2 linked regions of the Alligator mississippiensis genome follow. The protein of the gene in region 1 purifies or fractionates together with the protein of each later gene. This does not show direct contact. Links are inferred from orthologs where the notes say so. Each region holds a gene or a part of one and is shown on either strand. Other genes may lie near its edges. The genes, in order: SERTAD4 and PPP2R2C.

Region 1 (16,661 bases):
GAATTTCAATGTCACCTCATGGGAGAGTATCACCCAGGACCAGCCCAAATGGAGGAAGAGTCTGCTGTGGGGATCTCAATACTTTGAAACTTCATGACAACAACAGGAGATGGAAAAGTGGGAGTGGCAGAAACAGCGTGTCGTGGACCAAATCAAGAATCCAGCACCACCTACTCCACATGGAAACATATGTCCAACCTGCAGTAGAGTCTGCCAATCCTGGATAGACCTCATCATCCATCTTCAGACAGACAGATAAGATAATCATGGAGATAATCAACTGTGAGGGATTGCCGAAGAAGACAGGTCTTTTCTTTTCTTCCCTCTACGTTTTCTTTCCTGAAGTACTCCCTGCTCCCACTTGCTCCTTGCTCCATTCCATCCACTGAAATGGTCAGTGGGGCAGTAGATAATGTTGAAATGAAAGTGTGCTTTCATCCACTCTAAGCCATATGTTGGAAGTCAAGTCCACATGCTGATGGCTTTCTTTACAATCATGACAATTTGAAATTTACAATTATTAAAAAAAAGAGCCTAAGATCCTATGGAGTTAAAATATGCCAGACTGGGTACATAAATACATTGGCCTTTTGCCTGATACACCTAGCTTAGATGCTGTACTGGACATTTGGTCATTAATGGGCACATCCACACAAGATGTTTCCTGTAGAGCTGCCTGATTAGCTCTGCTGTAAAGTCTCTCCATCTACATCTGTGATCCTATTAGGTTGCAGTAAACTAATAAACTCTGCCACAAGTTAGTACATGTAAATACAAGTACTATCCTGCTGTGGAATTTTTTAGTGTGCTGTAAAGCATGTGTAGATGCTGACAGGGCTGGCTGGGGCACTAGGATGCTTCCATGTAGGGGCTGCCTGCTCGCTAGGCTCACACTGGAGCACTCTTGTACTCCAACCAGCCCCTCTGCAGCACTTTGAGCCAAGGTAGAGCAGCCCCATGCTAGCAGGCTGACCCCCTGGGCCCCCCACCAGCCAAGGCTGCTCTGACTTGGCCCAACGTGCTGTGGTCCTGGGTATACATTCAAATGGTAATTTTATTATTGATTTCAGTGGGTACTTCCACATATAAATTTGGGTGAAAAAATAAACACCAGCACAGCTTGTACTGGTGTTTATTTCTACTGGGCACAGTGTTTACACATGCATCTGGGACTGCAGCACATTGAGCCAGGGAAGAGCACCCCCAGGGCTGACAGAGGGTCTGGGAGGGGTCAGCCCTGGGTGGTGGTGGAGGGCAGCAGAGGAGCTGGTTGTGGCACAAGGGTGTTACAGTGTGGGGCTAGGCAGCAGGCAGCACCCGCACTGAAGCACACTTGTGCCCCAGTCAGCCCCACTTTTCCAAATCCTAGATCCATCCCTGACTATGCTATGTGGTCCTGAGGCTTTCGGGGGTGATTGGTCCTTTGCTCCAGGTACAGCATGAGCCCTTTGCTAGAGACTATGGAAACATCTACACATAGACAAGTGGGGTGCAGGGACAACTTGCCCCTGTGCTGCTAGTGCTGCTGATATGCTGCCATGGGGGCAGAAGCCAGGCTTGAGTTGTGAGGTGCCCTGGGGTTCTGTCGGGCTGGGCACCGTGCCATGTCTGTGCATGGTGCCCAGCCCCCTCCTTCCCACCCCCCCACTCGGAAAGGGTGGAAAAGCTGAAGAGCTGAGGTGAAAGCACGGAGGGACACACAATCCAAAGGCTCCAGACGCCCTCTCCCTTGCTCCCCAGTACACCTTATGCTGATGTATTGATGCTGCTCAGAGCCGTTCCATTCTAGACCCGTCTTCCCTGGACCGCAGGGCCCAGCTGAAGTGCCCAGGCAGGAGCAAGTGAGGCTCATTCCCATTTCTGTTTTCTTTCGAGGGATGACTCAATCCATCATTAAAAAAATTCCAACTCCCTACTAAAAATGGCATCACAATCAGTGCCCTGGAGGAAAAAGAGACGGGGAAGGGGGGAAATGTGAAAAATGGGTCCTATTCCTGGCTTCATTTTCTTACACACACACAGCTGATGTTCGTCTTGTATTTGAAAAGTTTATTTTGAAAGGACAGGGGTAAGGATTCTGCGACAGGCTTGCTTTGCAAAGACTGGATCCAATTTTCGGAGTCTGTTGCCAATTTTTGTGAGTCATTTCCTTGGAATCCTACCTTTGGTGTTGATTTCCCTTAGAAGGAAACTTGTAAAAGAATAATAATAGCTCTTATTCTTCACGGAAAGTAGCACAGTCAAATGGAAGACAACTCGCTCTTTGTTCCAAAACACTTTTCTTTTCTTTTTTTTAATTTGTTTTGTTTACTTTCTTCAGCGGACAAAAGTGAACAAGGCAATGTAATTAACCCCATAAAACATCTAATTTATGGTGCCAGTGACATCCGTGTACTGCTCCACTGGAGTGAAAAGTTAACTGGGTAGGCAATTTTAATTGGTGCTTTTTTTAAAGTATGAATAACGAGTGCCACCTTATGATTTTGGAACTTTCTCATCTAAAGCTGCTTTTGCCTTGCCAACCCACCTTGACTTGCTTGACCACTTTTCTTTCTATTATACCAGACACAGTAATCATATCCACTATGTGTTCAACTTCAAAAGACAGCTGAAAAGTTAACTATCTAGGAAACATCATCGGTGGCAGCCTATAGTAACTGGAGCCCCTTTCATCTCCAGGATGTCAGTATTCTCCAAGCTAAACTTTAATTGATTTAAATGGATACAGGATGGCATTCTGTACTTTTGGAGGATTTATGCAGCTGCCAGTGATATGGCTCAGAACACTAGAAGTATCTTCTTCTCTTACTTGAAGATACCCTCTGGACTTGTATTATTCTCACAGAACAGGCAGGACCTCTCAAGCTTTCACCTGGAAAAAAATTGTACACTGTAAACATTTTAGAACCCAGTTTCATATCTACCTAAATCTTCCAATGAGAAATAGGTTACAAACTTTTAAATATTTTTCATATTCTCATAAATTGAAGTGCAAACTATAATGAAGACATGCCTTTCCATTTAAAAGTTAGCTGTAATGAATTCCAGGGGAGAAATTTAGGTGTGTTTATAGAATTCCAGAAGACTTGTTAGAGTCATGTACTGCATTTAAAAACCAAACACTAAAGAAATAATTAAAACCCCATTTTGCCATTTTATTTGAATTCTATTTATGATGACAAGTAATAGATGGAGGGGGAGGCATGCCTGTTAGTAGTACTTAATTATCACTTAATTAACCCTAGAATATCACAGGGAAATGTTGGATGTTAAGCCATTTAAAACCATTCTGTTCTGGTGTTTTCAAAAGAAATGGTAACAAGAAATTAAGGTCTGACACTGGAAAGCCAAAAATCCAAAAAGAGCATTCCAAAGATCAGGGAACATTCCCAGTAGCTTCAGGGAATCCCAAAAAGGTAACCTCAAGAAGCTGTAATTGCAGCATTCCAGTGGGAAAAGGATGAAATGAAAAAATTCAAGGCATCTGGACATGAAAAAAGTGGGTGACATACTTGCTTAAGATTATATCTTGAGAGCGAGCCTGGAACACGTAGATGTGGATCATTTAAATTAAGAGAGAAGTCAGAGAAGCAAAGGATAACTAAAACATTTCCCTGCCAAGGCTATTTCTTAACACACAAATCACACTCTGATTTCATGTAAATTCCCTTTGCTCTGAGCTGTGTCCAGCATCAGAAAAACCAGTGGTTTGCTTGAGTTTCCCTGATGCGAGGGCCAAAAACTACAGGGAAAAACACTAGACTTGGCAAGCCTGCAGTCTATCTGCCTCAGAAGGATGAAGAGCTGAATTGACCCTGTTGGCATGTAAACCTGTTGTTCTACCAGTCTAGGTTAGTCTAGTTATTTCAGTCTTGACTTAACCCTTTCATTGCTGTCACAACATGCATATGTTTGCAGATCAATAGTGGTATCTGCATTTCCAGTACAAAATGTACTTGAATGGATGAACAATGAGGCCCTGCATAATCTTACTCCCACCCACATCCTTGCTCCCATTTCCCTTCCTACCCTTTGCTATTTTCCCAGTTCTTTCACTTTACTTTTTACTTTACCTCTGTGTTCTCATCTCAGTGTCATACTTTTTATCAGGCTGAAACTGTGGTTCATTCAGTCTCACTCTCCTCTTTTTCTGTCCAGCACTTTACACTCTTCCTTCAAATTAACTTATTCAGTAAACTTTTCTCTTCTCCTTATCCATGAACCTTGCACCCTCCTTCACCTCAGCTCTTGTCTAACATTCTGCTCTATGCATTTTTGTTGTGCTTTTTGTGTTTGATTGAAGGTTGGCCCATGCAAGGAATGTCTCTGCATCTGTGTTTTTAAACATGCTGTATAGTTGTGGTACCACTATATTTCATTAATGTAAAGAGCAGGTATAACAGATTTTCCACTGTCTCTCTCTCCATCCACTCCTGTATCTCATCTTACCTCTCTGACTTCATGTCCTGGAAATCAGATTAAATTTCCCCTAACCCAAACCTAATTCTCTCTACCGGACCAAATTTCTGTCACTGCTGACAATATCAACATTCTCCCCATCCCCCAGCCCTTTATTTAGAGATCCTCTTTTACTCCTCACTTTCTTTTGCTGAGTGTAGATTGTGTCCAAACTGTGCTGCTTTATCCACAACATTTCTAAGGTATGTCCTTATTGTTTTTTTCCACCAATGAAAATTTGCATGTAGGTCATGATAAGCTCCCGTCCTGGATAGAACAACTTCCTCATGTTTGGACTCGCATCCCTCTGTCTGATCTTTTCAAGCACAGGTAGTAAGATAATTTAAAACCTCTTTTAAGACCTTTTCATACCATACTGCCATTACACTTGGGGATGTCTCCTTCAACTTCTGCTCCTTCCTCCATGACCTGCTGTTGCTGCAATGCTTGTTGCAGCAATTAATAACGGCCCAGCTGAACATGAGGACAGTTTACCCCTTATTTCTAATTTTGTACAAAATAGGTGTATATACAACATCACTTGTATTTGATTGCCTCTCCCCCAATGTTTGGATGGCACGTGTTCTGAAGCTGCAAGCACCTCTAGGCAGGGCTGTTACTTTGGAGGTGCTTGTAAAGTGTCTAACAAAATAAGACTTCTGGATGCTACTGCAATGGACATATTAAATAGTAACACTAAGCTACAGCCGATGAAGTTCTTGCTATTTTTGAGCACATGCATGAACAATGGCTTAGTATGACTAACAAAAGCAAGGAGATGCATCATTAACAATGTCATCCTGACCTTAAATCATACTGTTGTACTATAGAATTAGTACAGAATATATGGTAAATAGTGAGACCTCAGCACTACTTTATACAAGCTCAGGAGTTAAGAATGGAGTAGCTACTTTAAGTCTATTTTTGTGTCTTTATTGATCTTAGCAGGACCTGCAGCATTATTGTAACAAGCATTTTATATTTAAGTTCTGTTTTGAGAGGCATTCTAGAACTGTATAAAAAGCCCTTTTCATTGACATTGCATCAGGCTTGTTATAATGTGAATGGCATCATTACAGTTCTCTCATTAACATCATAATGGCTCTGGAGGAATAGTGAGTGAAAATCCCAGCAAGTGGAATAGAGTAGCAATGTATAGTAGTCTTACTGTGTGCAACTGCATACAGACAAAGTTTAACATTTTAACCTTCAGGCTGCTGTAGATGCCTCAGGGTGTCCTTCTACTGCTTGCATTTGGCTGGCAAAGTGGAAAAACTGTGGTAGCCTAAAGATTAAGGTCTGGGTTCAATAAAAAATTTTGACTGGGTTCCATGCCACCAATTCCCACACACGGCCCCCAAATGGATTTTTAAAAATTGAATCCAGTCCTAAGTATCAGCCTCTTGCTGCAATTTTGTACAGTGCACTCAAACATACCCTTTCATCTTTTGTATCAAGTGGTGTTAATAGAAGTGTAACAATGCATATGCTGTTCTATAAAGTTTCATTGAAATCAGTGGGATTTTGGACAGAGTCCTTATATTGCCTTAACAGTGGTGCTCACAGTTTTGTCCCAGCGGGCCAGATGAGTGGCACAGGGCTGGTCTGTGGGCTTAATCCGGCCCCGTGCTGCCTCCCCCTGCCTGAGATCGGGTCCTGGAGGTCCCACACCACCCCTGTCCAGCTGAGGTTGTGCCCTCATTCATCTTCTGTATCTGATCTAGCATGCATGAGACTCCTCACAGAACCCTAGGGAGTCCTGTGAGCTGGATGACATAGTGCCAGGGGGGAATCTAGCCCATGGCATGGGGGTTGAGAACCCTTGCCCTATAACAATGGGATATCAGTGGATTTGGGGCAGGGGTTGTGATTAACAAGCAAGGAGACCTGGGTACCATTTCTAGTTTTGCCACTTACTTGCTGTGTGACCACTGGCAAATCACTTAGAAATATATTCTGCCAACTTTAACCAAGGTAAATATTTTCTGAACCTGGAAGGAGATGCACTTAAATCCTGCTTTGTAGAGTAAGCTACTGCTTATTGTGAATGAACAGAGTAAAATTGGCAAAAACACTGAGAAGTAGACTCTGATTTTGCATGTTTCAGTTTCTGGATACTTGACTTCACACATTTTCAGAAATGCTGAGTACTCATAACACCCTTCAAAGGATTTTGGAGATGAGAGAAATCAGTGCTTCTGAAAACCAAGACCCAGGTGACTGGAAGCCCTTTCTCCAATGGGAGGATTGTTTTGAAAATTTGGGCTTCAGCCTTTGTGACCTTTAGTTATTTCTATGCAACATTAGTTTGTGACACTTAGCCATCTTTCTAAAGTATTCTGAGATCTACAGATAAAAATATTGGTTGTGGACTATATGGACTATTTGTTTTTGTTCTTATTTTATTAGAAAATGGTATGGAGGATAGATGTTGCTCATGGACAGTAACTATTTATAAAAGACAACCAACTTGCCTCTATTAATTTAGCATATAGTTAATAGCATGAACAGTTAATTTACTTTAAAAGCTGTCTGCAAAACTGTAGTTTTCAAGATGAATTTGCTGCTGTTCTGCCAAACTGTGCAGAAAGCATCCCAACATGTTCTTCTTTCCATGTCTTTTCTCTCTGATGAAACATAAAAAGACTTTGAAATGAAATAGTATGGGGGAAAAAAAACTGCAAGACTGGAAACTTTTTTTTGCCATATATTATCCTAATAAAAATATCTACAAAGGATATGCTGATTTATAAGAATTCATTAAATATGAAGAAATCCTGACTTCCCCACAGCAGCAGAGGGGTCTCTTACAACCCGTATTCTCTAAGGACAAATGCTAAATCTTGACATCATGCCAGCATCAGGAGATTGATATCTAGCTGTGAATGACTCCTCAGAGGAGGTTAATGAGAAGTAGATCAGTGCAGGAGAGCTCTCCAGTGACGGTGTAATCTCTTTAGGTACAAAATATTTAATTTCTAGCTAGTTCTCAGTCCTGGATGAGACTGAGACATTCAGTTGTGACCAGATTGGTCATATAGGGGGCACTCTAATGATGAAGTATAGAAGATACAGGGGATTTGATATAATATATGGTATGATGTACATGATACAATATATGATATGATAGTGGCAACCATTGATCCTCCTGGATCATGGTGTATGCCTTTGATGCATATGCCTGGGCAGGAATTTTTGGAGGAGTAGAGGCTGCCCAGACCTTCCATCCTCCTTTGAGGCCACTGAGACAGAATCCAAAGACCAGATGTTTGGTGCCTTCATGGTTGTAATCGTATGTGTCTGGGAATCAAATCCAGGTCTCCTGTGTGTGGTAGACAAGGAGTCTACCACTGAGCCACAGGGGACTCCACAGTATAGGATATGATAAAGGATATGCTATATGAGCTATGATATGATATAATATGACATGATATAATGCATCATGCAATATATGATATGATATAGGATATGTCATGAGATATAAGATGCTATGATATGACATGATACATCATACAATATATATGATGCATGATACAATATATATGATGTCATATGTGAAATATATGATACGGTATATGATATGACATAGGATATGCCATGCTATTGTGGGCTATGATATGATCTAATATGACATGATATACCTCATGCAATATATGATAGGATATAGGATGTCATGAGAGATGAGATATATGACATGATGCATCATACCATATATATATGACATGATACAATACAATATATGATATGATGCCATATGTGATATATATGATATAGGATATGGTATGCTATATGAGATACGATATGATATAATACATCATGCAATATATGGTATGATATAGGATACGTCACGATATATAAGATATATGATATAATATGACATGGTGATACATCCTGCAATACATGATATGATGCATGATACACGATCTGATATAGGATATGTCATGCTATGTGAGATATGATGCATCATACAACATATGATTTGACACATGATGCAATACGTGATCTGTTGTGATACAATATATATGATACAGGGGATGTCATGATATACGAGATGAAATGAATAGGATGAATGATTCGTACTAAGAGGATAGGCCATGGGCCATAACTGCCCACACCATTCTCTCCCTTCCCAGGAAAAGCAGCCTTAAGTGCCTGCTCCATTAGAAAGCGGGCGGAGAGGACTGCGTGCGTGGTGTTTCCCTGTTCCTAAGCCCGTTCCAAGCGAGCCAGCAGTCGCTTAGGAGGGGCAGCGCAGCAGCCGGCGGATGATGCTCGCCCCCTGCGGCCAGCCCTCCCGCCGCGCTGCCCCGGAACTCCCGCTTCCCGCTCGAGGGCAGGGCCACAAGGTCCCGGGGATAAACCCCTCTCGCTCGGCGGTGTCCTTCAGGTGGAAAGGAGAGAAAGCCAGATGCCAAGGCTTGCTCTCTCCCTCCCTTGCTCCGGCGCGGAGCGCCTCGCCTCGCCTCCTCCGTGTGCGCGCTTCACCTTGTGCCCTTCACCCCGGCCCCGCTCCCGCCGCACCACGCCGGGGCGGCTTCTACCTCCTGTTTGCGGGGCCCCGCACCCCCCAAAGTTTGCGTCCTCCCCGCTCCCGTGTCTCAGCAGCCCGCGGTCGCGCTCGGCTCCGCGGGGACCGCCGCTCGCGGCTTGAAACCGGAGCCGGGCTCTGCCTTCATCTCGCTGTGTTGTGACTGGAGGCAGCCCGGCCGGGGCCGGCGGGAGCGGCGCTTGCCACCGGGGTTGGGGGGGCAGAAAGCCGATCCCGCTCCCTCCACTCCCACACACACACACGCCTGAGCCGAGCCGCTGCCATCTGCGAGAGCCGCTGGGATCCCCCCTGCTCGGCTCCGCGGTTTGTTTGCGAGGGGCGGGCTCGCATCCGCGGGGCGGGGGCTCATCCCGGGATAGGCGGCGGCGGCGGCGGCGGCGCGGGGCGCTGAGCCGCGCTGTTTCCTTGCAGGTCGGCGGCGGCGGCGGGCAGCCATGACCCTGGTGCTGCCCATGAACAGGTTCTGCGAGCCCATTGTCTCGGACGGAGCCGCCTTCCCCCAGCCCCTGTGGGAGCCGCACTGTTGCAGCAAGGCCAGCGCCGCGGAGCCCGGCCCGGCCCCGCAGCCCGCGGGCGGGGCGCCCTGCCAGCCCCTGCCAGGTACGCGCCCAGCTCGGGGCCACGGGGTGGAGGGGGGTTGCTTGCACAGTCAAAACAAGAAGCCCCCTGGGCAGTGTGAGGAGGGGGCTGCTTGGGGGCCCCTTGGCACCAGCCAGCCCGGCAGGCCTGGGGAGGGGATGCAAAGACAGGTGGCAGCAAAGCCACTGCCCCCCTCTGCGGGCACTGCCAGGCAGGGGCTTCAGCAGCCCCATGCTCCGCTCCGTGGCTCTTAGGGTGCACAGAGCCCTGCTTGGCACGCAGGCGGGCAGCCAGCCCCAGTTTCTTAACTGCCCTAGGGCTCCGGCTGCCCCAGGGGTGGGTTTTTAATGAGCCAGGGGGGCTTGGGAAGAAGGGTGCCAGGGAGGGTGAGACGGTCTGGATTGTTACCCAGCTCAGCGCAGGTCTTGCTGACCGCCGGGCATGCCAGGTGAAGGTAGGAAGTAATGACGGGTGCTGCTGTAAAATATAATGCTCCATGCAGACGTGTTACATTTTTCCCCCCCGCTTTGCCACATGAGGTAGTTAAAAGCTGCTCCTGTTCATTTACTGGAGCACATCCTCTCGCCCTTGTCATTTCACAAGTTCCTTTCTGGTTCTCCCCCTCCTGGGAAATAAAAGCTGCCTGAAACAGAAAGATTGTCCACGACCGAATTTATTACGGTTGCGTGAAATTTATTTCAGTGTCGCAATGTAAAACTTCTTTTAACTCGGGCCCCCGGCATCTGAACGCGAGACACTGAGGAACGCAGCTCTTTGCCTGACTAGCTGGAAAAGTGGGAATGCAAGTTTTTCTAAACCAAAATGTATGAGAATGTCTATATATACCAGACGCATCAGTTTCCAGTGCTGTTAGCATGACCTTCGGCCGCCCATACTGACACATCTAAGGAGTTATTTGTTAGTAAGGTAGAAGTTTTTGTTTTTGATCGCAACAAATATGTAAAGATACGTGGTGGCGATATCCTGCAGCGAGTAGGAAAATGAAAAGTATTTTGTTTGGAGAACCTCCGGCAAGCCGCATGTCATTTGTCATATCTGATTTATTACCCACAGGCTCACATTACAGGGGAATTTCAAATCCTATAACAACATCCAAGATCACATACTTTAAAAGGAAATATGTGGAAGAAGAGGATTTTCATCCACCACTCAGCAGCTGTACACATAAAGTATGTTTTTAATAATCATTATTTTTACTAAGAGATTTAGATGCTTAGTAATACTTGCTTGAAGCAGAAATACTCTACCAAAATGGTGACAACGATCCAGCTGTTTGTATAAAAACAAACAGTTGACACATTTTTGGCCTAATTGTGTTATTTATTGTCATCAAATAGTTTAAGAAACAAAGCAGTTCCTTCAATGAGGATAACAGAAAAGATAAATACTCTGAATCACTTCCTTTTCCCATATAAATGTATTCATAAACAATTCCACTATGTTCATGTGGGGAGCGGGGCACCTGTCTAGTTTGCCTGCTAAAATTCACTAAGTATGTTTAAAAAAAAAAAAAGACCCTATAATCTCCCATTTGTTCATTAATTCATTCATTCATCATTGAGTTTCAGGGTAGGTTCTGCATGGGTATACTGGCCTAACATAAAAGCAGAATCACTTAAGGAAAGTATATTCTGCTCCAATGTTTTTTCTTATTCAAAAGATGAGCTTTAAAGATCAAACAGCATATTTTTATATTTCTTAAACACGGGCAAAAGTGGGGTTCTAGATAACATTTCCCAGGTTTGTGACAACATTAATTAAAATCTGATGTTACATGAAAGATTTAGAAAACTGCTTATGGTCCTTCTCATTAAGGGTTCAAAACATGCATAGTATAGACGATAGAGCATCCTCAGTTTTGTTCTGGAAGGCATCCTGAAACTTCAAGGGGTGATCTCCACCTGGCAGAATCATTTCTGGTTTCTGTGGCTGTGCTACATTAGAGATATGTAGAGACAGAGATGTCATATCTGAAAGATAGATAAGCCCTCCACCAGTGTATTTTATTTTCAAAATCTCTAAATGAGTGCCTTTAACAGGTGCTATTCTGACAGCCCTGGAGACTGAAGTCCTGTCTCCAGCTACAAAATGATTAAAGCAAGGACAGTAAGTTTCCCACACTGCCTTGCAATATAGCTCAGCAATATAGTATTCAGCTTTTACTTGGAGGGGTAACCTGCAGGAATGAGAAGGTAGTTTATCTTGTTCATATTTGCTGACAACCTCAGACCTGAAAGGAGAAGGTTGATAGTTGTGGTGGAAAGTCCCGTGGACAGATATTCACTTAGATGTGAACAAGCATTTGTAGGATCTAGCTCAGGTTTAGGCAGCTTAATTTAAGCCACCTAAAGCTGAATCAGGAGCAGTGCATGCAAGTATTCACTGCTTGCTGGGAGGAGGTGGTAGGAGCCTAGTAGGCTTGTACAAGAGGGGCTGGTGGCTCAGGTCCTGGGCTTTTGGGTCCAAGGGAAGTTGGTGGGTCTGTGATAAGTTGACAGGTCTGTGGTGGGAGGGAGGGGAGGAGGCTGCCTGGTCCCAGGGGGAGGCAAGGCGGTGTTGGTCAGAGTTAGGGGTGTGGAGTAGTGGGGCATTAAAACAGCACACCCTGAGGCTGTGGAGAGTGGCTGGACTTGCCTAGCCCTGGGCCTGTGCTGTGAACACATACAAGCATTCACTAGACTGAGTTAAACCTCGCTAGGCTGGATTAACACTCTGCCAATCTAAAGTTAATTCACCTCAGACCAGAACTAATTCTAGATTGGGGCACGCCATTTCTAGGGTGACTTAAGCCCTGTGCATGCTTGAGCCCTGGGGCATTTAGATTGCCCTAACCTTGATTAGGGCAGTCTAAAAGTAATGCTTGTTATGTACCTTTGGTGTGGAACAATTACAAGATCCCTTCAGAAATCTGAGAACACCAATCACAGAGTACCAGTTTTCAGTTACTGATGGCATTGGTTCTAGTAATTTATTGACCTAGAGATGGAAGCCTATCCTATTAGTACTTACCCAGTTCACTCTGTCACTCAGTCTATACAATATACTAGCTCTACTAAAAAATGTGCTTGCATATAGCATATTTTTAAAAGCCTCTAATTGCCACCATTTCTTTTGTCCTTGTGGTTTTTCACCTCCTTGTCTACTTCCCTCCCTCCCCATAATGAACACGTTTTTGTTGGAAAGGGGCAGACAATTTTTTTTTGTGGGGAGGAGGGAGGGAGGGAGGGAGGGATTAAATTGAAGACCAGATATAGGCATTGAGTTCCACAGTAAGTCTGTTTTATGTTATTGTTCTGTTGCTATTGCAAAAACGTATCGTAGGAAATCTGAGGTCACCAGTTTATTCTTTCAAGCACAAGTAAATTTTCTAATTTGCAACCTTACTGCTAGGGGGAGAGACAAAGGGAGATATTTCCCCCAGGCTTACTTGAATTGCTCACATATGTTTATACTCCTCTTTTCCCCCATTCATATGGACTAAGAAAGAGGCATGTTCTCAGACTTCCTTTTCCCTTTTGTCTAGTCACCGTGCGTGTGACCTGTTCAGTTGGTGCTGCAGTAGGATCTGGGTGGCAGAGCATTCACACTGTAGTGCTTTGGAACTTGCTTCTACTGGTGGTCTTTCATGGCACAGGTCTAGTGCTTTTCAGGTCACAGTGCAAGGCTTGTCTCTTTGGTGAAGTCTTTAATGAGCTAATGGATTATTTCTACAGCAGGGCATAAAGGACTCTGGTTAACCTATGGAGTTAATTTAAGTTAAAGCTAGAAATGTATTGTAGAAAATTATTACACCAGAGAAGAAAGTTCTGGTTGTGAACTTATTTGAAAAATAGTGCTAATTTTGGCTTCTGAAATGAACTGTGCTTCTACTGGTCTGTGCAGGGCAGACAGCAGCAGGCTGTGGAAAATACTACATGGTGTATGGGTACTGAGTACTACTGAAAAGTAGCTGTGTAGCAAGCTCTCCTGTCCCTTATAGCCACCATTTCCCACTGCAAAAATTCTGAAGCCACATGGGAAAAGGAGGAATGACCAGGCTGCAGATGGGGAAAATGAGAGCAGGCTCTTTGTGATGTGTTTCTTTCCTCCTACGCAAATTTTCCTGTTCTAAAAATGGAAATTAGTTAATGCTGCTTATAGTAGCAGATACTACCCCTCTGTACTTTGATTCCCAGGGTAAGGATTATGGCGAAGAAACCATGGTCTCCTGGGAGTAGTAACCTGTTCATGCTACCACTCCTGAGAAGGAAGGCCTACAAAGAAGCAGGGAAAAGGGAACAAATTTGTGGGCTTAGAGCCAGGGTTTTTTTACAAATCCCATCCTTTTTAGTTTCCTGACTTCGTCCCTGCCTATATATGTTCCCACTAGTCCCACGGATGGCTGGGTGTATCACTCAGCCCAACAGCTGCAATCCAGATGCTACAATCCTTTTGGATTGCTTTTTTGGTCACTACACACATTTTTGTATACAATTGCACTGTAAGAATTTGGTTAATGGAGACTCCTCATTGCAAGAGCCTGTTTAATTGCTCAGTCACTTCTGGCATGTGAACTGGCTGTTGACTGAGCCTTGTTTAACTTTAGATAGTCCTTGTTGTGATGGCCATATAGCGAGAATCCACCTTTCATTTTAGCACTGGAGAAATCCAGCAGTGCATAGGTTCCGCTCTGTTAACAAAAAAACCCTCCATACATTATCAGTATATCAATGCAGGGGAATTACAAATGGAGGTTACGCATACAGAAAATAAAGAGTCAGATTTTTACAACTAGTGTTTGGTCACTCAAAAACCTGGATTTGTGTATGCTTGCTTACACATACAGAATGCTTAGTCTTTTATTTTTTCAGTTCAGATGCTGGTCAGGAGATCTGGCTACCAACAATTGGGCCTTGGAATATATGGATATACAAACCTCGTAGCCCAGGTTGAGATCACTTGGGAACTCTGGCCCACCCAAAGTGTAAAACAGTGAATTTGTACACTGTCAATAAAGTGCTTAATTCTGTAACTGCATGAAGTGAAATTGGCTCATTCTTTTCTGTCTTTTGTGTCTCCGTTTTCAGACAATCTCAGTTTTTGAGGAGCGGGCCCATATTCTCTACATGTCTTTGGAAAAATTAAAATTTATTGATGATCCTGAAGTCTACCTGCGGAGATCTGTCCTTATAAACAATTTAATGAAGAGAATCCATGGAGAAATTATCATGCAAAACAACTGGTGCTTCTCTGCTTGCTCTTTTGGCAGCACCTCAGCACAAGAATGGTTCATGTCACAAGACTGTCCCTATAGAAAACGTCTCCGGATGGCAAAAGAGGAATGTGAAAAGTTCCATACATGCTGCTTTTATCAAGAGTGTGGCAGTCACTATTTAAATTTGCCATTCTCTGTTAATACTAATGGGGAAAATTCTTCCTCCTCCTCTTCCTCCTCCTCCCCTATCTCTTTGCCAAGTTGTTCCCAACAGGTGGATTATGGCATTGGCAATGCCCCTGTTTACAGGAGTGATGACCATATACTTGCCAATGAAATATTCATTACTAATGCCAGGTCTCATGGTAATCAGGAAAAGGCAAAATTAAATGATGAGAAAGGAGGTAATGAAACTGAACGAGATGGTGTCACTCTAAACTGTGAACCGATGAAAGGCGACCTTGCTCTTGAATGTAAAGGCAAATTTTATGATTATTTTGAGACTGGATCTAATGACAAGAGCAACATAAGTGAATCTTGGAAAAAATCCTTGAGGAAAAAGGAATCTTTACCAAGTAACAAAATGTGCTGCAGCAAAGGAAGTAAAATATGAGACACCCTTTTTTGCTGTAACTTTGACGCATGCACGGCATGTTCAGTTATCTATCAAAATTGTATTTTGAATGGATTTTTTATAGTTTTGTACAACTGATACAATCATGCCACAAACATTATGCGTATAGTTTTAAATGACTGGAGAGCAGATTGCCTAAAGCATCTGTATGATCAACATCAGTGAGCTATTTATAAATATGGAGACTTCATAAAGAGCACAGTTGAATTATTGCTTACAATTATAGTTTAGCTTTTGTTACTGAAAATACCAACAAACCAGCTGGGGAAAACATACCCTTTTATATATCCCCTCCCTCAAGAAGTCTACCATTAATTAAAAGGAACCCCCATTATGCTTACCAATTAATTAGATGTTTGGTAAACGAATTGATATTACCAACAAGGGTGGTCTGCTTCTTGTAAGACAATATTCATTGTGAGGAAACACTGGTTATGGTGGTTGGGGAATTAACTCTACGTACTCATACTGACACAGTTAAATTCCTGTATTCATTCTTATTCAACTGACAAAAGCCAGGATGTAACATAATGAAATACCTGTTCATTGGATCTTAATCAGAAACACCACATACAGCACAATCACCTTCATGTTTTCAGCTCAGCTGCAATCAGTAATGAGGTGTATGGTGGTTTGTTGTTATACAGGGCAGATATTTTTTGTGCCTTATTTTGTTACCTTAATTTTTTCCAGTGTGAAAATTAAGTATAAAATCAGAGCTACAGCAGGGACTTAACCTAAACAGAAAAGAAAACCAGGGTGGATCAATTTTATTAAAAATCTGTAGCCTTTGAAATATCAAGTTGAACTTCCTATTGAAACATCTATATTCTTCCTTTTTGATGCTCGATTGCTTTTTGATTTGCCATCCTTAGGAAGGGATTTAAGAAACAATAGAGAGATGTCTCTTGTAAACAAGCATTAGATGCTTGAGCATTTCTATGGCAACTGTCTGTTGCAGAGGCTCTTTTTGTATAATGAAGTTCATGAACCAGTGGCATGTTTTATACTTTATTCTGTTTCGCATAATTTCTCTCTTTTAGATTGCAAAAGCATGCAGGGGTTTTATATGACTTTTGCTGTTGATTTTTAAAAGACAAGCAGAACAAAGAGCACAATGTTAATAAATGACGTGGCGATAAAATTTTATCTGAAATGAATGTATGGGTTTTACTTAAAAAAAAAAAAAAAAAAAGATTATTTTGGAGAAATGGGTGGAGGTTTCA
Region 2 (16,571 bases), on another chromosome or scaffold:
TCTGGGAGAACGTCTGTTCACCAGAGTGCCCCAAGGAAAAACAAGGACCAATGGTCATAAAATCCTACAAGACTGTTTTAGGTTGGACATAAGAAAAAAATTCTTTTCTGTCCGAGCCCTCAAGACCTGGAACAGACTCCCTCCAGAAGTGGTGCAGGCACCTACTCTGACTCATTCAAGAAACGTTTGGATGCTTATCTTGCTGGGGTCCTTTGACCCTAGCTGACTTCCTGCCCTTTGGGCAGGGGGCTGGACTTGATGATCTTCGAGGTCCCTTCCAGCCCTAATGTCTCTGAAATCTACAGAAATGTCCATGATTTTTGCCACTGAGTTTTAGTGGAGCTGGGGTTTTATCCCCACTCATTTTGCCTGCAAAACAACAAATACAAGAATGAATGCAAACGAAAGGGGAGGAAGTACACCAGCTCTCTCAAAAAGTTTGAGTCTTTGATATAAAATCAGTTTGTTTACAGCATGTACATTCTGATTTTAAATGAATTATAGGTATAATTTCTATTTTGTTATATTTATAGGATCTGACATCTCCTCCGTGAGCTGTAACTAATATTGTCATCCAATATTTATGATGTGTTAGCTTCTTACAAATATAGAGAAAATTCAGAATTATAACCGGGCCTATATTATTCCTATTTTTGCCTTTCATCTTTAAAGAGCCTTACAAACTAGAAACACATGTAGCAAACAGGAAAAAGGAGCACTATAACAAGTTAAAGAAACAAAGGGAGAGAAATTAAGTGACTAGCCTTTGATGATAGCACAGGACAGTGCTAGAAGTAGACTTAACATCTGATGGTTATTGGATCCCAGGCATGGGTATCCCGCTTGCCTGTTGGTTTATCACTAGGTTCCTTCCTTTCACTCCCTCAGCAGGGTAAGATGACAGCTGGTAAAGGGCACTGGCAGGGGCAGTGCTAGGGGAAGGCTTGTGGGGTGGGGCCACCCCAAAATTTGCCTTAGTCCCCCCTGTAGCCACCCCTTCCAGTATCACCCCAGTCCAAGTCCCCTGCCTGCCCCACGCAGCTGTGGCTGCACTGCTTCCGCCCACAGAGGTGCGGTGCTCCTGGCTTGGGCCAGCCTGCGGGACCCACGTCCCACCTTTGTTTTGCAGAGCCTCCACAATTTTCTGTCTAGCTCAGTGTTTCCCAACCTCTTCCAGCCCAAGGCACACTTACATTAATAAAATGTTTCCACAGCACCCCTGTTAAGGCATTCTCCATCCTCATACCTATTGTAGCTCATTGCCATGGCAACATTCCACAGCACACGTGTTCATTTACTATGGCACACTTTTATGCCATAGCATACTGGTTGGGAAACACTGGTCTAGCCCACCTCAGCCCCCACACCAGGAAGATGCTGGTGCTGCCCTGGGCACTGGGATCCAATTCAACAGCCAGCCAGTCGAGCGTTCCATAGTTCCCAATGCACGGGACAAGGAGGTGGTACGGCGAAATCGGAGAAGAGATGGGCGTGTGGGGAGGGGGGTGTGAGAAAGAGTAGGACTGGGTCTGCAGGCTGGCAGTGGAGAGACAAGCAGCTTTAGAGCTGGGACTGGAAGGTGGACAGATGGACTGAGATAAATCTCATTGCTAGAAGAAAGTCAGCAGTAACCACTGTTCCAACCCTGCAGCCCCAGAAACTGGCACAAGAAGCAAGGGAAAGTTTCTGCTTTTATACAGAAAATCATAGGGGTTAGGGTCACAAGCTAAAGGACCAAAGGGAAGGAACAGGTAAAAGGTAAAGAAAAATCAACACTGTAGTAACATATGCAACTCTTCTGCCAAGCATTGGTCAGCAGTAACAAGGGCTGGGTTCAATTTTGAGATGCTAAATATATTTTATGTTGGTTCGAGCCCCCACCTAGACCACCTGGGAAACACTAAATGAATTACTAGGGTGTCTCGCATAAACAAACCCCCCTCCTCGCAAACAGTATAAACACAAACATCCACATTTATTACGTAGAAAGAACAAAACAAAAGAAAACATTAAATATAATTTAAAAACACCATTACTAAAAGCAAAGCCTCTTGGGGGAGGCTTCACCCAGACCCAGGCAGCCTGGGATTTGGGCTCCCCGTACCTGCCCGTCAGCAATGGGCTGGAGAGGGGGCCCATACTGCTCCTGGGGTTCACTGTGCCACAGGGAGCTGCTTGAGGGTGGGGGTCCTTCTGCATTGCAAGGGGCTCCGTTGCTCCTGGAGACATGGTACAGCGCCGACTCCACTTTTACATGGCGGCTTTGAGGGGTTAACTCTGGTTTTCTTCAGCATTACTGCACCCCGAAATTCCTAGTCCCAATCCCAGTTTTGCTGGGCAGAAAAATGGAAAAGGGCTCAAAGGTAAAAGGTCAGGCCTATCTTGCTGGGCCTGAACTGGGCAGCAAAAGTTGGCCAGGCTTATAGTGCACCAAAGCCTGGATAAACTAGTAGGGTCAGATCTCACCCTGGCTCAGACTGCGCCAGGCTTTACCCTGGCCCAAATCTACCAGCCAAACATATAGTTGAGGTTCAGCTGCCCAGCTAGGCTGAAATGCAGTAGCTGTGAAACAGCAAAAAGGGCTCAGGCCTATGGCTGAAGCCTGGATATCCAGTTTCAGCTATACGTATCACAATGCTGAGACACTACAATTCCCAAACGCAGGCCAGTAACTGCCACGACCCATTCCTGGGCAGTTTGCTCCAGGGATTAATACCCCCATGGCATTAACCCATTTAGGGGAAAAAGGGGTGACGGGAAGGGAGGAAATAGGAGTCTCAAACTCCGAGACAGACTTTTTCTCCCTGAGGCTTTCCTGTCCCACACATAGCTTTTGCTTGCCTCTCCAGTGAAGAGGGGGGAGACCCCCCCCCACCAGGGAGCAGGTTTTCTGGCTCTCACTTCAGCTGTGCGGCTCTCAGCACCCCCAGGAGAAAGAGAGAGTGACCCTCAGTGAGTGGTGTGACACCACCCAAGCCTTGTTCAATTAGGGACTCCCACAGCCCAGCTTCTCTCTTGCTCATCTTCCTGGAGGACCTTCTGTTTTAGGCCAGAAGGTTTTACATATTTTGCCCAGATACAGACCCCAGCTTGCCAGATGCTGAGCACATGGCCAGAGCAACAGGGGCCATCTTGCCCACATACAACACCCCCCCTGGCCCCCATGGTGTGGGTGTGGGTGTTACACACATGGAACTCCCAGAAACCCACAGGGACTGGGGCCGGGTGGGGGAGCAAGGGAAAAGAAGAAGTTTGAGGCTGGATTAAGGGGAAGAGAGAGCGGAGTGTACGTGGAGCCTGGTCAGCCCGACGCAGAGGAGTGTGCAGTGGGGTTGGAGATCTCAACCAGGGCTGTGGATTGAAGCAGCTGGACTCAGACTTGGGGGGAGCTGCAGTCTGATTGGCTGATTGTAATATTTGGTTCTGCTGTGCCCCTGTTTAATCAATGAAAAAGGTGAAGTATCTGTCTAAATTTAATTTGGACCTTAATTTCATTCAGCACCTTAATTTCCCTCCTCCTCTAGAGGTGTCCCCAGACAAGCCTTTAGTCTCTAGAGCACTCAAACTGCAGACTGCAGCGGCCCCCAAGTCTGAGTCCAGCTTCTTCAATTCACAGCCCTGGCTGAGGTCTCCAACCCCACTGCACACTCCTCTGCGTAGGGCTGACCAGGCTCCACGTACACTCTGCTCTCTCTTCCCCTTATTCCAGCCTCAAACTTCTTCTTTTTTTTTCCTTGCCTCCCCACGCCCCTGTGGGTTTCTGGGAGTTGCAATCCAAATGAACAGATTGTTCTGCAGCTCTGCAGACTGCCCCCTGGTTCCACCTGCTGTTACACACATTACATTCACATTACCACAGCAGGAGCTACAGCAAAGCAGCTTGCAGGAAAGGGCGGCATGAGAGGGTTGCATTAAAAGTTAGCCTTGCATCTCTGTACTGGAGTGCCTGCTAAGGACAGGGCTTGAAACTGTTGGTTTTGAACTGATCGATAACTGTTAAAGTAGTTGTGCCTAGTGTATTGCTGCAGGGATGTAGGTTCTAGCCGTGTTGATCTAAGGTCATAAGCAGATAATGTTCTTTGGGTAAATTTGATATCTTTACCTAAAGAACCTTGTCTGCCTAGTCTACTTGCTAGCATTTCTTCTTCAGTATCAGCCTCATGCCCCTGGCTGCCTCCTGCTGTTTCCCAAGCCCAGTGCACTGCAGAGGGAGTGTAGGCACCTAATTGCAGGCACGCACTCCACTCTGGGAATCATAGAATCATAGAAAATTAGGGATGGAAGTGACGTCAGGAGGTCACCCCCCTAGTCCATCCCCCCGTTCAAAGCAGCACCATCCCCAGCTAGATCATTCCAGCAGGGGCTTTGTCAAGCTGGGCCTTAGAAACCTCCAAGGATGGAGATTCCATCACCTCTCGAGGTAACCCATTCCAGTGCTTCACCACCCTCCTAGTGAGAGAGTTTTTCCTAATATTCAACTAAAACCTCCCTTGCTGCAACCTGAGACCACTGCTCCTTGTTCTGTCATCTGTCACCACTGAAAACAGCCTATTTCCATCCTCTTTCGAACTACCCTTCAGGTAGTTAAAGGCTGTCACTAAATCCCCTCCCCGTCTTCTCTTATGAATGCTAAATAAGCCCAGTTCCCTTAGCTTCTCCTCAGAAGTCATGTGCCCCAGCCCTCAAATCATCTTCATTGCCTTCTGCTGGACTCTCTTCAACTTGTCCATGTCCTTTCTATAGTGGGGGCCCAAAACTAGACACCGTACTCCAGATGTGGCTTCACCAGTGCAGAATAGAACAAAATAATTACTTCCCTCAATCTGCTGCTAATGCTCCCACTAATGCATCCCAGTATGCTGTTAGCCTTCTTGACAACAAGGACACACTGGTGATTCATATCCAGCTTATTATCCACTGTATCCCCCAGGTCCTTTTCTGCAGAGCTGCTGCCCAGCCAGTCAGCCCCCAGTACTGTACTGGTGCATGGGATTGTTCCGTCCTAAGTACAGGACTTTGTACTTGTTTTGCTGGGCAGAAAAATGGAAACCTTGTTGAACTTCATGAGATTTCTTTTGGCCCAGTCCTCCAATTTGTCTAGGTCACTCTGAATCCTAGCCCTACCCTCTAGTGTATCTACTACTACCCACAGCTTGGTGTCGTCTCCAACTTGCTGAGCGTGCACTCCATCACATCTTCCAGGTCATTGATGAAGACATTGAACAAAACTGGCCCTAGGACCAACTCCTAGGGCACTCCTCTTGGTACCAGCTGCCAACTAGACATTGAGCTGTTGATTACTACTCACTGAGCCCAACAATCCAGCTAGGTTTCTACGCACCTTACAGTCCATTCATTCAACCCATACTTTCTCGCAAGAATGCTGTAGATGGTATCAACAGCTGTGGCTGTTCCTGCTGGGTTTGGCCCATGCACTTGAGGTGTGAGGCTATGGCGCTGGAAGTGGGGGTTGGGGCCCCCCTCCGTTGCCTCACTTGCAGCACTGCTGCCACCGCCTGGCCTGAGCACAGCCCAATTTGGAGCAGCTTCGCGGGAACAGCCCACAGCCTGTCCGCTCCACCCTGTGGGCAGATCCAGGGGCACATGTCCCCCATAACCCTCCTGGGCTGCGTGCTCTCCCTCCCTGCACCCCCAAGATGAACTGCTTGTGGCTCTGTCCCCTGTCCCACACCAACTGTACAGGGCCTGCTCCTGCTTCAGCCCTGCTACCTACCTCATAGCTGCAGCCACTGGCGCTGCCCAACGTTTGGGGGGGCACATACCCCCTCCCATCTGTGTGCAGTGGAGGCAGCTCCCTCTGGGGGCTGGACTTTGTGCCTCAAGCCCCACTACACCTGTCCCCTGGGCCTCCGCCCCTTCCCTGCCCCACAGACTGAACTGCTGGACTGAGGGAGGCACATGTGGGCATGCACGCACTAGCTCAGCCCCCGCCAACCACAAGATCTATCACTGATGTAGACTGTCACAACTCTAGTACTTTTAACCATGTGAATATCTGGGATCAACTTAAAAAATTCTGGGTTCTGGGATCAACTTAAAAAATATTTATGTGGCGTGGTATTTATTAAAGATATTTTAAATACAGAAATAACATGTCAGGCATGCCCACTATGAAGCTTAGTTTATCTAGTAAAAAAGTGAAAAATATTATATATAGCTATTGTGGATAGCTAAGATTCAAGTTGCAAATTTCTTCCACCTTGCAGGGAAGCATTCTGTTGCTCCCGTATCTGTGTGTTAAGGTTAAATGTTCATTCAGCCTGACTGGTTGGCTGATTGTAATATTTGGTTCTGCTCTGCCCCTGTTTAATCAATGAAAAAGGGGAAGTATCTGTCTAAATTTCATTTACTTAACACTGGAATCCCTAGAAAGTGATGATTAATATTGTCTACTGTAGCGATTCTGGTGTCATACATAGCATTACACTTTCTGTTTGCTTATGTAGCGTTCAAGTAAAATTAAGCATGTGACAGACCTTACTGAATTTATCTTTAATAACCAAAGTATTAGATTCATTTTCAAAAAAGGAGCTGAGATCTGGAGATCTGGCATGACACACCCAATGCTGCACAAGTTGTCTGTGTCAGGTGCTGGAAACTAAACTCAGATGTCTCAAATTTAAATCCAGTGCATAAAATGCAAGATCATTCTTTTCTCCCTTAATTGCTTACTGACCAATATTTCCTTTTCTTACCCCAGTGGTGGCTTAATATTGATGCACAGAGTGCTTTCATTACTTAAAAAAATCACCCTCTTTTTAAAGCAAACACTAGTACAGTTTAGGTCTTAGTTTGGAGAAATGGCAATATTTTCCCCAAAGCTTGGGAACCACGCTGGCCCATTCCATTAAAAGAGTTTAGTAGCATAGACCTTTAAAACTGCATTTCCTTGAAAGGTTTTGGCAAAAGGGCAACCTTCATTTTACAGTGCAGAGGAATATATTTTTCTTTCCTTGGCTTCCCAAGGGGCTCGTGCTCTACATTCCTTTCTCGGGGTGGGGGATAATGCAGTGAACAAAAATAGTAAGGAACTCCCACCCTATATATAACCTGCAAGCACAGCCTGTATCCACCTTCCCCTGCTGGTTCAGTCTGTCTGCTGTGAAACCTGAGATTTTTTTCTCTCTTTTTGCTGCTTATTCCTTTATATGTCCTAATTTGCTTTTTAGCTACAGAACTAGAGCAAGCAAAGGCTGTGCTCTAATATATTCTTAAGATCTCCTCATTTCTTAACCGGTCCTTTTTCATAGGCAGCTTTTGGGCAGTTTCATTAGTGCTCATTCAAACTGACATTGAACGACTGTTGCTTTTGCTGCTTATGGCAGTATTGACCAGCACCAAATTGTAGCTTCACGCTACTGTGGAATGTGTGTCAATGCAAACCCATTTAAGTTAAGCAGCCTGAAGTTTTTTTCCTCTCTCTTCCCTTAAATCTTCTGTTGCCCAGCTTGCCAGCAGAAGAGCTCAAATAATTACCTGCAGTCTCATTTTTCACTTTACTACATGCAGATCTTGTGTGGTTGGGCAGAGAGGCTGGCTGGGAGGGGCCTGCTCTGATGCAGCAGAGGCATATGACAGCAGTAGCAGCAACAGCAATCACAGAGCTTCACCAGGCAGCTTTTGCTGCAGTCCGCTGATTGCCACTTTCTTCCAGGCAGCGAGATTCCACCGCAGCGAGCCCTTGGAGCAGACTCCGCATGGGAGCTTGTTTAAGGAGTACCTGACTAAACAATTGGGTTATTCTTTACCTGCAGGAGAAGTGCCTGTCTTCTCTTTACACAGGTCCCCTGCTGTGGCTTCCCCCCCTCCCATCATTAATTTATTGGAGCTATTTTCCTCCCTTCTTCTTTTTTTCTTTATTACTGTTCTCATTATTCACTTCCCAAATCTGTGCTGCATCACCAGCTCTCATGATGCTGTGCTCAGGAGCCCAGTGTGTTCCCCGCCTCTGCTAGGCAGTGGCAGCATGGATGGTGCTCTTGTGACGACCTCTGCTGATGCTATCAGTCCACTGCGGATAGGCATGCTGAGTAATCCTGCTGTCAATGGGCGAGGACACGGACACACGGAAAATTAACCACAGCTTTCTGCGAGACCACAACTATGTGACTGAAGGTAACATGAACATTGTGTTTATTCTCTTCTGCTCTTTGCCTGTCTGCCTGGGCTCTGCAAGGAATGCACTGTCATGTTGGGATGTGTAAGAAAATGCATTTTCCTGTGTAACAGAAGCAGAGTCCGTTTGGATTTGCTGGCACCCAGGTGTATTTTGTCACACTGCCACACTGTGCTGAACTGCCTGGGCTGGAGAAGGGATTGCATTGGGATCAGGGTGTGCTAGCGAGGTGTGCAGCACCCAGCTTGACTTGCCTCCGAGATGCACTGCAACAGATCAGAGGCGAGGATGGTTTAAAAAAAGATAGACTGTGCTGCTTTAAGCTAGGAGCTGTAATGTGTAAAGTTAACTGTTTTGCTGGTGTCATGAAGGTTATGCATCTCATTTTGGCAATAATAGCAGCCTGATCACCACAGAAATTGCTGAGTTGGTTGTTCCCTGGAGGACAGTATAAACCTAGAAGGAATATGTATGCATGGTCTTTGGAATACTGCGGTGGCTTCCTCCCATCCTCTAAAGACCTGCAAGGGATAAGAGGAAAGAAATTAGACCTGCAGATTGAGTCTTTAAATGGCTGGTGGCTTGTTATATAAAAAAGGAGGTCCTGGCAGGTGACACACGTTTTACATTAGGAGAAGTTACCTGTCAGCCATGTAAATGTAACTGGTCAGGGGACTGAAGAGCTCTATGCTTCATTGTTGAAAAGTTGTTTTAAAAATAGGTCATCCTAAGACTGAATGAACAGAAGAAATGTTTTGTGTGTGGCTGATTCCCAAGCATGTATGCTAAGTATTAACAGTGCAGTGTTTTAGAAGCAGGAAATGATAGAAGCAGTATTTTAAATGTCGTCTTACATAATACGAACATACAACATCAGGGTCGACCAATACTGCTTGAGCCTGAATCTCCAGATTGTGTCGTCATTCGATTAGTGTTCAGCCACCTAACGTTCTCCTGCCGCATCCTGAAATTTGATCAGTTGATTATTGATGATTTGAATTTTTTAGGAAGCAAGAAACAGCAGGCTTATTTAGCTGCACTAGGCATGCAAAGCTGATTTTTTCAGAGGGGAAATTGCAAATACTATGCTTGCTGTCTATAAGCAATGCCATTGGTCAGTATAATCATTTGGTAATCTTGCCTCTAGGGTATTCTTTGCTTTCTGGTTCTTGTTTTTGTCCATTTTTTTGGTTCATGTTTTTATTGTCTGCAATGTGTTGTCTGTTTTCTTTCCTTTATCTTGAGGTATAATTACTTGAAATAACATCCAAAGAAACTTTATGTCTTAAATGTCATGCCAAGGACTGCAAAGATGTGCTGCATGACTACTGCAGTATACTGCATGCTGAGGTTGTGATGCATATGTGTGGTACTATAGGAGCCTTTTGTTAAAATGGTGACTCTGCAAATGCCTACCAGTTTTTTTAAAATAAAGACATTATCTCTTTTGGCTTTAGTATAACATTGTACTTTTAAATTGCGTGCTGCAATAAGTGAGGATTTTAGAAATTGTACAGTGATGTTTAGTCAGCATTGCTGTGTGCTCTGCTGACTCACTCGTTGGCTGGAGCACGCTTTAGCTTCACGTGATATTCAGAGCAGAAGCTACTGATACTCTTCCATGGGTGCTGCATGGGGACTGACCTACCCAAATCAGATCAGAAAAGACTCTGAATAGAAATGTCAGCTTTTCCTTATGAGAAGTCATGTTACCAAAAGTCTTGCTTAAACTGCACTGTTGTGTGTGGCTTTGACAGGTGAAACAGGATATTTTATATAGTAAAGTGTTGCTTTGGGGGCTGTTCCTCATTTTACGTATTTTACGGAGAAAGGGCAAAATGGTCAGCATCAGTCCAGCTGTTCACCTCTTCTACATCTCAGAGATCACTGATCAGTTGTATTAAGCAGAGAATGAGCTTTTCTTTTTTTGTGAAACTCATCACACTCCTGGGGACACCTTCAGTTTTCCACTCCTTTAAACACTACTATTTCTAATGTGTCACTAATGTAATTCGGCTTAAAAGATACACAGGTGTTTATATTGTTGTTGTTGTTTTTTTTAACTTAAAATAAGTTCTTCCTCACTGAAATAAGCTTACAACTTTTTCCTTCATAAAGCTTTCAGTGGGACATAACTTGTCCCGTTTTTTCCTACTATATGCCAGGTTTAAGCACAAGTTGGCTAATACAGACTACTGAGACAGAAAAATATAATTTGCCCTGATTATATTTTTTGGCAAATAATACTATTTTATAATAAAACAAATTTGGTTTTGGCTCTCTGGCCTGGTATTAGTACAACTGTTTTATTATTCACCCTCTGACACTAAAATAGACTGAAACAGAGGTTTTATGTTTTACTAGTTTCAAAACAAAAAATAAATTCTTGGCATTTTACTCAGAAGATCTGAAAAATACTGATTGCTTTGAGTTCACAGCTAGCTTCTTTTTTCTCTCTTATACTTAAACATTTAAAATTGCTTTAAGGGACTTCTTCAAATTTTCTTTTCTATGCATGTTGCTCCATGCAGCAAACTACATTTGTTTTCGACAAGGAAGTCCTTCTGACCTTTGTATGCACTTTTCCATCTCTTTTCTTTGGAGAAAAGAAGGCCACTGCACTCAAGAGGACATCAGTAGTTATCTGTAATAATGTTTGACTTCCTTCCCTATTTCAGTGATGAATATCAGTATTGATGTAAATGACCAGGTTACACCCAAATTTATACTGTATGTTATGATGATGGGACAAATCTGGTTCACTTCACTTATGCTAGCAGACCAGTTGATTTCAATGGAACTACTTGAATGAGTAAAACCAATAGGATTTGGTCCTTTATTTTGTCTACATTTTTTATTCCTACATCATTTTTTAAGTGCCTTGATTTATACAAGTATGTTATTTTATTCCTTTGAAGTTTTTTGTCCAAACAATGAATTGCCCTTGTTTTTAGAAATTGGGCCATTTTTATAGCAGCTTATTGGGTTTGGTTGGGGTTCTTTTATAACTGTAACTTTGGTTTTGATCCTAACATGGTTCATTCAGGTTTTGGGTGAAGTCATTGAATTTGCAACAAGTTTGCATTTGGCCCATTTGTTCATTTTTGCTTCTAAAAATAGTTTATACCGTAAGTGGTTTAAAAACAACACAAATTCAGATAGTGACGGCAACATATTTTTGCAAAGTTGTTGCCTTTAATAAGTGGTGTGTTTTAGAAATTCTGAAGGTGAACTGAATTAGTGAACTATGTTTTTTTCAGTACAATCTCTGCTTTTTTATCCTGCACTGTGGGAACTGCAGGAGTTCATTTTAAGCACAGAATACTTTCCTAGCCACTGAGAAAATGTGCTGTAAACATAGCACCCACAGAACAATGTAAAGCAGAGAATAATGATGCAAAGAGAAGAGATGGTATAACATGGAAAGGAATAAGGGGCAGTATATTAGTGCCAATATATATAAAGACAACTTGAGTAGGAAGAAGAATACCATTTTCTGAAATAGAGAAATGGTGAAGCACCAAGAGGGAAGGAATGAGTGAGGAGCAAATGTTGAGTGCTCTTGGGCTAGGGACAGACATTCAAAAAGCTGGAGCCTGAATTGATTCAATCTTTGCAGGTTAGTCTAACCTGTATAGATTGAACTAATTTGCAAGTGAATAGACATTCTCTTTTGATTCTGGGAAAGCAGTCACATGCCTGCGGTGGCTCAGGCTAGAAGCTGGGGGGCACTAGAACGAGCCCTCCCTTTCCTTCCTTTCAGAAGCAGCTGCTGGGCATGCCTGGAGGGCAAGGGAGGAAGCAGCCCTTGCAAGGATTGTCCTGAGGCCAGACACTGGCCAGGGCAGTGGCTCAGGCTAAGGGGATGTGGGGTTTAAACTCCCCAGTCTCCATGCAGGCACAGGATCCCTGCTGGGTTCCCCCTGCTTCTGCTTGGGTGGTGGGAGGGCCGGCCAGAGCCGGCCAGCATGGCCCTCCTATCCACCTGGGGCTGGGGCTGTGGCTGCAGCTGTGGAGCTGAGCCGAGTTGGGCTGCGGGTGCTGCTGAGAGCAGACACGGAGGGCCCTTCCCAGCTGTGTCTCAGGATGGGGCCATGGCGGCTGCGCAGCCAGATTGCTCCCCTGCTCCCAGACCAGGTGGGGCTGTCATGAAGCCACAGCAGTGGCTGCGGCTCTGTGACAGCCTGGCCCAGCAGCACACATTTGGGCTGGCTGGGTAGCGGGCTGCCTGGGTGGCTTGGAGGTGCCAGTGGGCCCCGAACCTGGAAGCTGCTGTCTGCAGCTGCTGCTGCACCCCCTGTTCTGTGCAGCACCCGGCGGCTGCCCCCACATCACAAGCTGTGGGCTGGCTGGACTGTTCTGTTCCCCTCACCTCCAGATGCGGCTCCTGCCGCCCTGTGCAGTACTGCTCAGGGTAGGGGGAGCCCCGCAGCTAGCGCCCATGTCGCTGTGGCTCCAGCTGCCTTCCATCCCCTCTGCCCTCCCAGCGTGATGAGCAGACCCTGCGGATGGAAGGCAGCCAGAGCTAGAGCTGGAGCTCCATGCGCTGGGCAGCAACTGCTGGGCTGAAGCTTCTCTTTCGCCCACCCAGAGTGGTGCGGCAGGGGTGGAAGCAGCAGTGGCCGTGGCAGTGGCAGTTAGAGGCGAGAGGGGCAGAACAGGCTGCCTGGCCCACGCTAATCTGCAGCATGTGGTGCGGCTGCAGCTGCCAGGTGCTGCACAGGACCGAGGGGATGACGGCAGCTGTGGCAGGTGGCTGCCAGGCTCGGGGCCCACCAGCGCCTCCCAGGCAGCCTGCTGCCTGGCCAGCCCGTGCCCGTGTTGCCAGACTGGGCTGTCACGGAGCTGCAGTTGCTGCTGCGGCTCCATGACAGCCCTGCCTGGCCTGGGCTAGGGGAGCTGGGACCAATCCGGCCGTGCAGCCCCCATGGCCCTAGTCTGAGCTGCAGCCCGCTGGGAAGGGCCCGGCCCCCATGGCCCAGCCCGGGCTGGTACCTCCACATCCACTCTGCAGCACCTTAGGCTGGCTCAGCTCAGCTCCAGCCCCAGCCCCAGCCTGGAGCTGAGCAAAGGGGTGGGGCCAGCTCTGCTGTCTGGAGCAGACAGCCCAGCCCAGCCCACGGCTGAAATGCATGCTGGGATGCTGAGGGACTCTGGATTAATTTAAACTAGGAAGGGGTCTGGGACAGAAGTTGCATCAACTGATTTGACCCAAATCAGTTAAGTATGATACTACTTTCAACCAGGCGTATCTTAAACCAGTTTCAGACATTTTGAAACTGGTTTATGGTCACTGAACTTATGTTCTGTTACAGGTTTAAACCAGTTTCAGATCACTTAAACTAGTTTATGTGTAACTTCTGTCCCTAGCTGAACAGGAGCAGGAATATCCTTCTTTTTCCCTAGGATAGTGCTCAAATAGGACGTTAACTATGACTGTAGTTACACATTTTTGTGACAAAAAAATAAAGATCATTAATGATAAAATATAAGGAGCTGGCACAAGGAAATAAAAAAAGAAGAGAAAGTGCTAGGGAGGCATCTAGAAAGGATCAGAAAGGAAGGAAGGAAGAAGAGGTGGTCTTAATGTAGCAAGGTATTTAAATATACTGTATGCCTACTGTTAAGCATGTTAATGGTCCCTCTAACCCTACTGGGATCATCATTTGCTTAAAGTGAGTTTGATCAATACAACAGTTCCAGTAGAAACCATGAGATTAGCCTAATGCTTACATTTGGGCATATGCTTATGCAAGCAGCTGAATTGGGAGCCAGATGGATGAAAGAAAAGGAAAACATTTAGAACTGTGACTTGTTATACATTACGGTTTTTTTCCTGGCAGAGAGGGATTTATGGGGAAAGGAATGCAGTAGAAAAAATGCTCAAACAAGCTATACTTTTGGCAGCTCTGTGTTCCATAGAGTAATAATGGAAAATGGGGGGGGCGGGGGGGTGGAATCACCACAGGGCTGATACAATCATCTGGTAGTTGTGGAAGGAGAGGGTTTGTAGCATCTCTGTGAAAAGCTGATATAGAGAACTGTGTTTTTGGAAAACGTCAGAAGTTGGTGGCATTGAGAAGCCCAAGTGTTCAAAATGTCAATGTGCCAAGTCCTGCATTAACTTAAACATAGCCTTTTATTTTTTATCTCAGGATTCTTATTTGCCTTTTGATTTACTGAACATTTAAAACTCCTATTTCTAAGCTGTTATCTCAAAGCACTTGGAGAAACCATTTTTCAGTCTTTCTGTAGGTAGGTTCTAAGGGGAGGGGGCATGGCCTGAGCAGTTGTTCATCTTTGCCACTAACTCAGGAATGATATTTTCACAGATCCCCTCTCTTCTTGTAGATCTGGCCAGTAAAAATCACTGAGAGGAGGTTGTTCATAGTGCATTTTTCGCAGAGAGGCAGGTTCTTACCTTGGTTATGTCCTTCTAAGCACAGATGAAGTCAGTGGAGCTGAAAAGATGGAACTGAGGATGGAACTGGCTCTTTACGTATACTTTTTATATAGTCAAATGGAACAAAAGGTAATCATGTTAAATGTAGTATAGTATCTGAGGTGCAATAAGAATTACTGTGATATTGTAAAATAGAATATTGAACCATATTTATAACCATTAAAACAAATACTGTATTTAGTATGTGGAATGAAAATGTCATTTTCATAAAATGCCTTCACATGTTGGGAATACAGTGCTGGTTTTTAAAACCTTCCAGAGAAAACTGAAAGCATGAGATATAAAAAGCAGGATGCCTTTGTTTTTAACTAAAGTTATCAATACCTTTCCTTGCTTAAGCTAAGTCAGAGAAAGATGTCCATCTTCTCTTGCCAACAACAAGTGTCTTTGTAAACTGGTGATTAGTAAGGATCCTAAAAAAACATAAAAGACCTTTTATATGAAGAAGTGCTAACCCACCACAGAGTCTTCTGCTTATGTAGGAGTACAAAGGAAAGTTGGCATTGCTATACTGCAGTGGCACTCAACCTTTTGGTCCTGCGGGCAGGGTGAAGGGGCCAGTCCATTGGCCAGATTGGACCCTGTGTGCCAGGACTGGGCCCTGGGGCCCTGTGCCAGCCCACCTGATCCCACGTGCTGGGATTGGACTGCGGGGGGCCCCATGCCACCTCTGCCCAGTCCTGTGTGCTGGGACTGGGTTCTGCACTGCCCTGCATGCTCAGTCAAGTCCACAGTGTCACAGCCTGTGGGGTTCCTCACACAGTTGTGGGGGGCTCTGTGGGTAGGATGACATAATACCAGGGGTTGTATCTAGCTTGTAGGCCAAGGGTTAGCACCACTGCTGTGATGAATCAGATCCAGTGCACATTTAGTTCAATTATTTGTCTTTGAAAAGTGACTAGCACCAGCTTTATTTGAAGAAGATGCAAGCAGTAATTCTCCCTGGAGGAAGATTGATGGCTTATACCCCTTCCAAAATTCATGATAATAAATGCTTTTTAAAAAATAACTCTGGGGAGTCTTGCTAATTCTCATGACAATAACTTAAATTTTATTTTTTTATTCAAGTCATGTATGAGTAAAGGTAAATCTTTAAAAATATCTTACCCCAGAATGCCTAGTTAAACAAAACATAGTTATTATGCCTTTGTGTGCCTTAGGTATGCATAGTTATGCCACCTAAACATAACATTATGCCATAGTTATGTCATCTTTCCTCCATAAATCAAATCAAATGACTGTTTTGGATGATCCTGAATATTTTGGATCAGCACATTTTATTCAACCCACATAGTGCAGTGGATCTTGTAATCCTTTCCTACAGGAAGAGTTGAACAGTATTCAGACAAGACACAAAGTGAATTGCTATATATTAGTAAAACTCATCACTTGCACAGTAGTGTCTCCCTGGTCAAAGTCCTGTTTAAAAAATGATAAATGTCATCGTTTCCATTTTTTGGTGAGAAAAAGATAAAAGAAGAGAATTTAGGACCTGCCCAAAGGTATGGAGTGAGTTGATGGGAAAGCCAGAATTAGAATGGGGGTTTCCCTTATTTTGGATTGGGAATTGGGAGATTCCTCACTTTAGTTCCTATTGTCATTCTTCTAGAGGAATGACATTTCAGTATCAGTTTACTGTTGTGTTCTTCAAAACCTTGTTTTGATCCAAGGGCTTAATTTAACAATGGACCATTTGATGTTCACCAGAGAGCATTCCAAACCTCACTGTTCTGTGAAATATTTGTGGCTATCACTCTAGTCACTTATCTTTGGAGTTGATGACCCCCTTTTCAAATGCTGAGAATGATTTGCCAATGCTATTAATGTTGTTTTTTCATTGACAACAGCGAAAAGTGGGTGCAAAGCATTGTTGCATCACAATACCATATCCTATAACTTTCACTTTGAAAAGGCGTACATAACTGCACAGTGTACACAGGCTAATTACATTTAAATGGGATTGCTGAGCTT

What was found.
Region 2: the proteins of SERTAD4 (region 1) and PPP2R2C purify together in Homo sapiens (affinity purification with mass spectrometry; 3 studies listed by BioGRID and IntAct, counting the BioPlex papers as one, with this or other methods). This does not show direct contact. The link is inferred for Alligator mississippiensis from reciprocal best matches to the Homo sapiens genes SERTAD4 and PPP2R2C.

What each region holds. Positions count from the first base shown.
Region 1 is NC_081824.1:191,539,569-191,556,229, reverse strand, and holds the start of SERTAD4 (SERTA domain-containing protein 4), read left to right. Parts: upstream 1-9,359; 5' UTR 9,360-9,441; coding exon 9,442-9,607; intron 9,608-10,660; coding exon 10,661-10,776; intron 10,777-14,673; coding exon 14,674-15,414; 3' UTR 15,415-16,661.
Region 2 is NC_081825.1:26,448,395-26,464,965, forward strand, and holds the start of PPP2R2C (protein phosphatase 2, regulatory subunit B, gamma), read left to right. Parts: upstream 1-7,538; 5' UTR 7,539-8,066; coding exon 8,067-8,136; intron 8,137-16,571. UniProt on the Homo sapiens protein: The B regulatory subunit might modulate substrate selectivity and catalytic activity, and might also direct the localization of the catalytic enzyme to a particular subcellular compartment.